2 linked regions of the Lonchura striata genome follow. The protein of the gene in region 1 purifies or fractionates together with the protein of each later gene. This does not show direct contact. Links are inferred from orthologs where the notes say so. Each region holds a gene or a part of one and is shown on either strand. Other genes may lie near its edges.

Region 1 (3,743 bases):
TTAAACTTGGCATCCCTCAAATTCCTCCTCTTCATTTACAACCTAGACACCAGTTTCAGCCTGGTGATGGTCAGGATGCTCCCCTCTGTTCCCCATCCTAATAATGGTTATCAAAAGGAAGTACAGCTGGATAGAAGCTCTAAGGTATAGATACAGGATCAGAGACTATAATAACCAGGTCTCCTGCATGAACTGCTGATAAACTGGGAAGCAGCAAAATTATTAGGAAAACTGACATCCAATAGTTCAGGCTCCTGCTTGTCACCAGTACTGGACCACTGGCACACAGAACAGTCGCTCACAACAGTAAACTGTACAGAAGTACAGTGCTCACTGAGTGACAGAGATTTAAATCTGGAAGAAACAGAGAGAACTTCTGTTGCTGCACAGATTTCTGTTTCAAATTTTCCCACTGCACTAAGAGGGTCACACAGCTGTCTTTTGTCCCTTCTGACTACTGGGACAAAGCAGGGTTAAGGGACAAGAAGGTAAAAAATCAGTTTTGAGGAGCAGCATACATCAGAATTTTACTTTTGCAGAATGCTAAAACTCTTGCAGTACCCTGCCCTTCTTACTTCAGATTTCTACTCCCCCTCCATTCAATTTTTCACAGTATTTCAAGAACATTTTTCTAAGAACAAATAAAAACTCCACTATAGAGTTACAAATTAAGAAATACCAAGCCTTTAAGAACTCACCTGGGGGAATCCAGAGCTTCCCTCTGGCTGCCCTGGGACCCTGGCAGGGGGTCAGGAACCCCCCCTGTACAGAGCCCCGAGAGACACTGTCTCTGATCTCTGTCCATGGAAAAGTTTTCAATCTTACAGGATGAATTACAAGTGTAATTCATCCTGTAAGTGTTTGATGTAAGTAATCATTAACATTCTGAGTGTTTGATGTAAGTAATAATTCAGTGTGGCACGGGTGCAAAAGTAAAATTTTAGGATTCTAGATTAGGGGTTCAAAGGGGACAAGATGGAGGAAATTGGGTGTGTCTTGTCCTTCTTCTCCTTCTTCATGACCTCCATGTTTCATTGTAGTGCTGGCATTTTTCTATTGGTTTAGGCTGGGGACACACTGTTCAATGTAGGTGACAGATATTGGCACATTATTGTAAATATAGCACATGTAGTTTCTGGTATTTAATGTTTGTAACATCCCACTGAGGGCAGAGCCCCACACGCTCCCCTGCAGGACAGACCTGCAGCAGGGCAACAGAACATGTTAGAGATAAGCAAAAATAAACAAGCTTGAAACCAGCAGATGAATTATGGCTTCTTCTTTGGCAACGGGGCAGAAAGACATTTTTTACAATCTTGGAATCACCAATACCACAGATTCCACCACTCACCAACCAAGACCTTGGCAGCTGGATTGTCAACTCCAATAGCTTTCAGGATGGTTGCACCATCGTTGGTAACTGTGACAGAGCTGTCTCTCCCGGTACTTAAAAGAATCTTGTCCTACAAGATGCAAGATTTAGCATACTACTTGAAAAGGCACTGTAACTATTAAAGCTAAATTAATGGGCATGCCTACTGAGAGCCAGGAACTGTCTTACCATGCCTTTAGGCCCCAGGGTGCTCTTGACTAGGTCACCAATGGCAATGGCACCAACAAAGGATGACTGAAATGAAAATAAATATACCTCAGGGAACAATTTATTTCTATTCTAATAAAATTATTATACATTACCACACAGCTTTTGACATTTTACCCAACCCTTCCACCACTTTCAACAGAGGCTTAACTGAACTTAAGGCAAGATTCTTAACTGCTAAAATTTGATAATCAGATCAAATATACTTGAATCCCCCAGAAACTGTAAGTCTGTCTCAAACCCAGAAGAAATGCCACTCAATAAATACCAGTTTTCTGACCTCCAGTAGAGGTACTTTCGTTTTGACAATGAAAAGTTTCTCTAATTTTTAGTATAAACACTCCGCCTCCCTTCTGTTCACAGACGTGCAAGAAGAAAAGCCAGTTAGAGATAAAAGTTCCATATCATAATATAGTGAAAATATTTTTATTAGTAGAAAAGACAAAATTTAATTACCTCAAGTACTACCAGTTTCTTAGAGAATTAAACTTACCAAGCGAGCTGTTTCTGCCTTCTCTTCATCTGCACCTGCCTTGAAAATGTTCACAGGAGCAAGGGAAATTGATGCCTAAAACACAGTTAATGTAAGAATATTGTTCTAGCTTCAGTAAAACTATGTGTTCTAAATCCCTCACTGTAACAACTTAAACAATCGGTTTTTAAATAAAATTATTTCCCCGGACCGAGCGCAGCTGCCCGCAGAGCGCAGCGCACCGAGCTCTGCCAGCCCATCCCTTTCGGCTCTGCCCAACCAGCCGGCCTGCAGCCCGAGGGCACGCACAACCAGCAGGAACCAATGCAAGTCTATGTACTGGCCGTACTGAGCCTTTAGCATTTTGATACCTGAGCTGAACTCGCTTTTTTAATTTTTTTTCCCGTATCAATGCAAATTAATCATAGCGGCAACCAATACCCGCCCTTTAGGCCCAACATTTGCAGAGCAGCCAAGGCCTTACATGAAGCAGGATCAAATCCCGAACACTGGTACCGGGGCTCTCGGAGTCGCCCCGCCCCGGCTCCAGAACCTTCGGGCGCCGCCGCCGCGGCACAGCGCGGGGCAACGAGGGGCGCGCCCGCCAGGCCCCGCGCCCGCCCGCCTCAGCGCAGCCCCGCCCGGCCCCGCCGCACCCGGCCCGGGCCGAGGCGCCGCTACCGCCACCGCCCCGCCGCTCACCATGGTGCCGTGCCGCCGGGACCCGCCGCCCGCCCCTCCTTCCGCAGAGAACCAGCGCCGCGCCGCAGCCCGCACGCGCTCCTCCGGAATGGCGGCACGGCGGCGCCGCTTCCGGCCGCGCGGCCTGCTGGGAGCCGCAGTCCGCCCGGCGCCCGCCCGGCGCCCGCCCGGCGCCCACCGCGCCTGCGCGCCGCGCCTGGGGCGGTGCTGGCGTCTGCGAGCGCGCTCGGGGGGAAACTCCTCACCCCGGGCTGAGGCACTGGAACTCCTCACCCCGGGCTGAGGCACTGGAACTCCTCACCTTGGGCTGAGGCACTGGAACTCCTCACCCTGAGCTGAGGCACTGGAACTCCTCACCCCGGGCTGAGAGGCACTGGAACTCCTTACCCCGGGCTGAGGCACTGGAACTCCTCACCCTGGGCTGAGGCAGTGGAACTCCTCACCTTGGGCTGAGAGGCACTGGAACTCCTCACCTTGGGCTGAGGCACTGGAACTCCTCACCTTGGGCTGAGAGGCACTGGAACTCCTCACCTTGGGCTGAGGCACTGGAACTCCTCACCCTGGGCTGAGGCACTGGAACTCCTTACCCTGGGCTGAGGCACTGGAACTCCTCACCTTGGACTGAGGCACTGGAACTCCTCACCCTGGGCTGAGGCAGTGGAACTCCTCACCCTGGGCTGAGGCACTGGAACTCCTTATCCTGGGCTCAGGCACTGGAACTCCTCACCCTGGGCTGAGAGGCACTGAATGGGCTGCCCAGAGAAAGCGTGCATGCCCCATCCGTGCAGTGTCCAGGGCCAGGTTGGATGGGACTCTGAGCATCCTGGGCGAGTGGAAGGTGTTGTGGAGCTAGATGATTCTTAAGGTCCCTTCCAACTCAAAGCTACTTTTTGATTCTGTGGTTCTGTGATATTCCTGGAGGTCAGCTCTCACACAGGTCAAAAGCATTTTCAGTTACTGATTGTGGCC
Region 2 (3,743 bases), on another chromosome or scaffold:
GGGGTCTTTTGTTTATTTTATTACAGTGTATTCATGCTGGATAGGTTTTAATTGAAAATTGGGTATAATGTTGTGGGTTGTTTTACTTTTACTATAAACCTATTTTGGTTGCCAAGTAATCTCACATTTTAGCAAGGTATAAACAAATATTTGGAAAAAAACCCAGATTTCGATCTGTGATAGGAAGAAAGTGATGCAATACTGTATCTCTACTTACTTTTCAATATTAATTAGGGTTTCAGTATGAGTTCTGGGGGGAAATTATTCCATTTAGGTAACATCTCTCCTGCCTGATTTATGTGAGGTCTGCAAGACAGAAATTGCAAATTTAATGCTTCCTTATTATTTTTTTCCTACTTTCTCTTTCATGCAAACCCTTTCAGAGCTATGATGGAGGCTGCGAGGAGACTATGAAAAGAATGCTCTGGAAACTTTGGCTGTGTGATTACCTTTATAAGCAAAGCTGGAAAAAAAAAAAAAAAAACAAAAAAGAAGAAGTTCTAAGCTACAGAATTGCTATTTGTCAAGTTCCTGAGGGAAACAACACAGAACCTCAGATTTGTGAGGGTTGGAAGGGCTCTCTGGAGATCACCCTGGCCAAGGCATGGTCACCTGGGGCAGATGAAATAGGAATAGTGTCCGGGTGGGTTTGGGATGGCTCCAGAAAGGGAGACTCCACGCCCAGCTGCTCCCAGCCACCCTCATGGAAAGAAGCTCTTCCTCATGCTGAGGAGGAACTTCTGGTTTAGTTTACAGCCATTGCTCCTCGCCCTGTGGCTGGGCACTGCTGACGAGTCTGGCACGATGCCCTGACATCCCTTGGAGATATTTTTATTCATTAACGAGATCCCTCCTCAGTCTTCCCTTCCCAGACTAACCAGGCCCAGCTCCCGCAGTCTCCTCACACGATGATATGAAGATATTTATTGCTTGCCAGCCTGTTGTGAGAAGCACTTAAGGCCTGTGGCCTTTCCCGCTCGGCAGCCCGGAGCGCTCCCATTTAACGCGCGGAAGCTCTGCCTCCCCAGGCTTAAACACCATTTGTGGGTTCACTCCCGTGTCTTTTCGTTCCCATCCGGCTCTTTCGGACTCGTTGAGGGCCGGCCGCGATCGCCCGCCCTCGCCCTTTGTTCGCTGAGGGGAGGGAGCGCGCGGGAGCGCGCGGGAGGCGGGAGGCGCGCGGCCGCCGCCAGCGTAAGGGGCCGAAGGGCGTTGCCCGCGCGGGGGCGCGCAGCGCGAGGCGCCCGGGAGCGCGCACCGCCCGCCCTCCCTCCCGGCCGCGCTGGGCGGGTGCCCGGTGGAGGCGGCGGAGCCTCCGGTGAGGCTCGCGGCGGCGGAGCCTTCGGTGAGGGGCGGCGGGCAGCGGCGGGGCTGCGCGGGGTGGGAGCCGAGCCGGGGTTTCCCGGGCGGGCAGCACGGGCGGGGCGGAGGGAGGAGGGGAAGGAGGGAGGTTGGCCGCGCCCAGGCTGCCCGATGGCTGCGGGGAGCTGAGCGGGCTGAGGAGGAGTCGGGACCCAGCGACACCCCCTCCCCCGCGGATCCCTCCTTCCCGCTCGGCTCTGCCGCCTTCCCCGGGACCCGCCGGGGCGCATCGCGGGCGGCTCCCCCGCTCCTCCTCCTCCTCCTCCTCCGCCCCCCTTCCCTCCCCAGGCCGGCGGGACGCGGGCAGGACCGCGGGCGGCGGACGGACCGGCCCGGTTCATGAGCAGCGGCCGGGAGGGCAGGTAACCGTGTGAGGGGCGCGGGGAGGGCGGCGGTCCCTCAGGACGCGTTTCCCGCCCGCCGAGCCCGGCCGGCCCCACCCCGGGGCCATCTTCCCTCGGCTCCCCTCAGCCCCGCTCCTTCCCCTCCCCCGCGCTTCCTCCTCCTGCCGCACTTCTCCTTTCCCTCTCCGTTCCTGCCTCGTCCTCCCCTTCCGCCGCCGCACCGGGGCCCCGGGCCGCCGCCTGCTCATCGCCCCCGTTCTCGGCGACCCTCGGTATGGCGGGGTTGGAAACAGCCCCCCTCCCCCGCGCTTCCCACCTCCTCGGGGCTCCAGCTTCCCCTAAAAAAGAAGTGTGTTTGTAGCTGGAGGAGGAGGGGAAAAAGGTGGGGGTGGGACTGATTCCCTCTCGAAGGCTTCCAGGCGAAAAGGGAGGAGACCTCGGATCTTGCGGGGTTCCATTTTTAATTATAATTACGCTGTAGTGGTCCCTGCTAGACGGTCTTGGGGTCTTGTCTTAAGCCACAAAAGGCGACTTCCCGAGCGATCCAGCCGGCAGAGGGAATATTTGGAGAGAGATTCGAAGGGGAGGAGGAGAAAAAAAAAAAAAAAAAAAAAGCAATGGTGTGGCTGCTGTAATGGTGGAAAACTGATTAAGAGGAGCCGGGGGTGAGACAAACAGGGTAAGGCTGCTTCCAGCACCCCCAGCCAGCCGAGGGCTCGCAGATGGGGCTCATGCTGGGTGTGCTGGGCGAGGGAGGGGTAGGGAAGGTTTTGTTCTCGTTAGAACCGGAACCGAGGATGGATTCAGACCGCATATTTGTTCCCCCATGTATTACGGTGCTGCATATTTTTGTGTGCCCGTAGCAGCGATAACGAAGATCATGGAGGGTGTTTGCTACAATAGAAAGATGGAGTTTTCTCCTTGGAAATGTTGTTTAAAATATTGCTTAAATTCTGAGCTTTTTATCCAAAGGATTTCAGCATTTTTTATTTTTTTTTTTTATCCGTGCAAGGGATATTGAACGTGTAGGGTTTTTAATCCTACAGCTTTGTAGGGAACGAAGATGTGTAAAGCCTTGCATGTAAATATGAAAGAGGTGAGGCGTTTTATTAACAAAAAAATCTTGTCTAGAAGAAAATCAGAATGATGTAGAGGTTGTTGTAAGATGTCAATTTATCATTCCTGAAGATGAACTGAAATTTTAACGAATGTGATATTTCATTATTCTCTAACAAAGTCACGGCTGGGACTCGTTTTAAACCAGGCATCCTTTCTAGGATGTGCAGACTGCCACGTTATTATGTATTGTCTCCACAGGAGGAAATAGGAGGAAAGCACTGTAAATGTAAGGCTTAAGTGATTATTGAAACAGCTTTTGAGAATAGTTGGCTCAACTTGGGGAGGCGATTTAAGACTGAAAAATTAAACGTTTTGCTGCTGTAGGATATCTGCACCTAATCGTGAGACATTTATCCCATATTTTAAGCTGATGTGGACACGAGGATGTGAATCAAGCGAAAATGCTGTCGATATGTGTGAGAATACGAAGATGATGTGTTAATACCTAAATCCGTCCCTAAATGTGGTAGATCAGGGTTTATTTCTCTCCCTTGTGCTTGAGGAGAGGAGAAGGAGAAGGGGTGATAATAGTGTAGTTGTTTTGGTGGCTGCAGATTAGCCAGGGTGTCTGTTTGATTTTCTTTTTGCTGTGAATGAATGGATCTCTCTGTGCCTGGGCCCAGTAGCTGCAACAAGATGGCGTTTGCAGCAAGGCAGCTCTCATTTTTCAACTCCTCCTCACCCCAGCTTTGCCAAACTAGATCTTATTTCGTAATTGTGTTTTAGATTTACTTTCTCATTCTCTTTGCTTTCTTCTGTTCTGGGGTGGGGGTAGGAGGAGCATTTGGAAGATTGCTGTGAGAAATCTGTGGTTTGTTTTTTTTTCTTAATTTTTGTGAGCTCCTCCAGATAGCAACCAGGTGGGAGGAGTAAATAGTTTTATTGAAACGTTCATATAGGCTCTTAACTGAATAAGGG

What was found. The genes of interacting proteins can lie anywhere in the genome.
Region 2: the proteins of CCT2 (region 1) and GNB1 purify together in Homo sapiens (co-immunoprecipitation; 3 studies listed by BioGRID and IntAct, with this or other methods). This does not show direct contact. The link is inferred for Lonchura striata from reciprocal best matches to the Homo sapiens genes CCT2 and GNB1.

What each region holds. Positions count from the first base shown.
Region 1 is NC_134607.1:44,620,986-44,624,728, reverse strand, and holds the start of CCT2 (T-complex protein 1 subunit beta), read right to left. Parts: upstream 2,913-3,743; 5' UTR 2,778-2,912; coding exon 2,775-2,777; intron 2,593-2,774; exon of another isoform or gene 2,557-2,592; intron 2,169-2,556; coding exon 2,094-2,168; intron 1,628-2,093; coding exon 1,562-1,627; intron 1,464-1,561; coding exon 1,352-1,463; intron 1-1,351. UniProt on the Homo sapiens protein: Component of the chaperonin-containing T-complex (TRiC), a molecular chaperone complex that assists the folding of actin, tubulin and other proteins upon ATP hydrolysis.
Region 2 is NC_134626.1:2,642,667-2,646,409, reverse strand, and holds the start of GNB1 (guanine nucleotide-binding protein G(I)/G(S)/G(T) subunit beta-1), read left to right. Parts: upstream 1-1,233; 5' UTR 1,234-1,345; intron 1,346-2,022; exon of another isoform or gene 2,023-2,046; intron 2,047-3,743. UniProt on the Homo sapiens protein: Guanine nucleotide-binding proteins (G proteins) are involved as a modulator or transducer in various transmembrane signaling systems.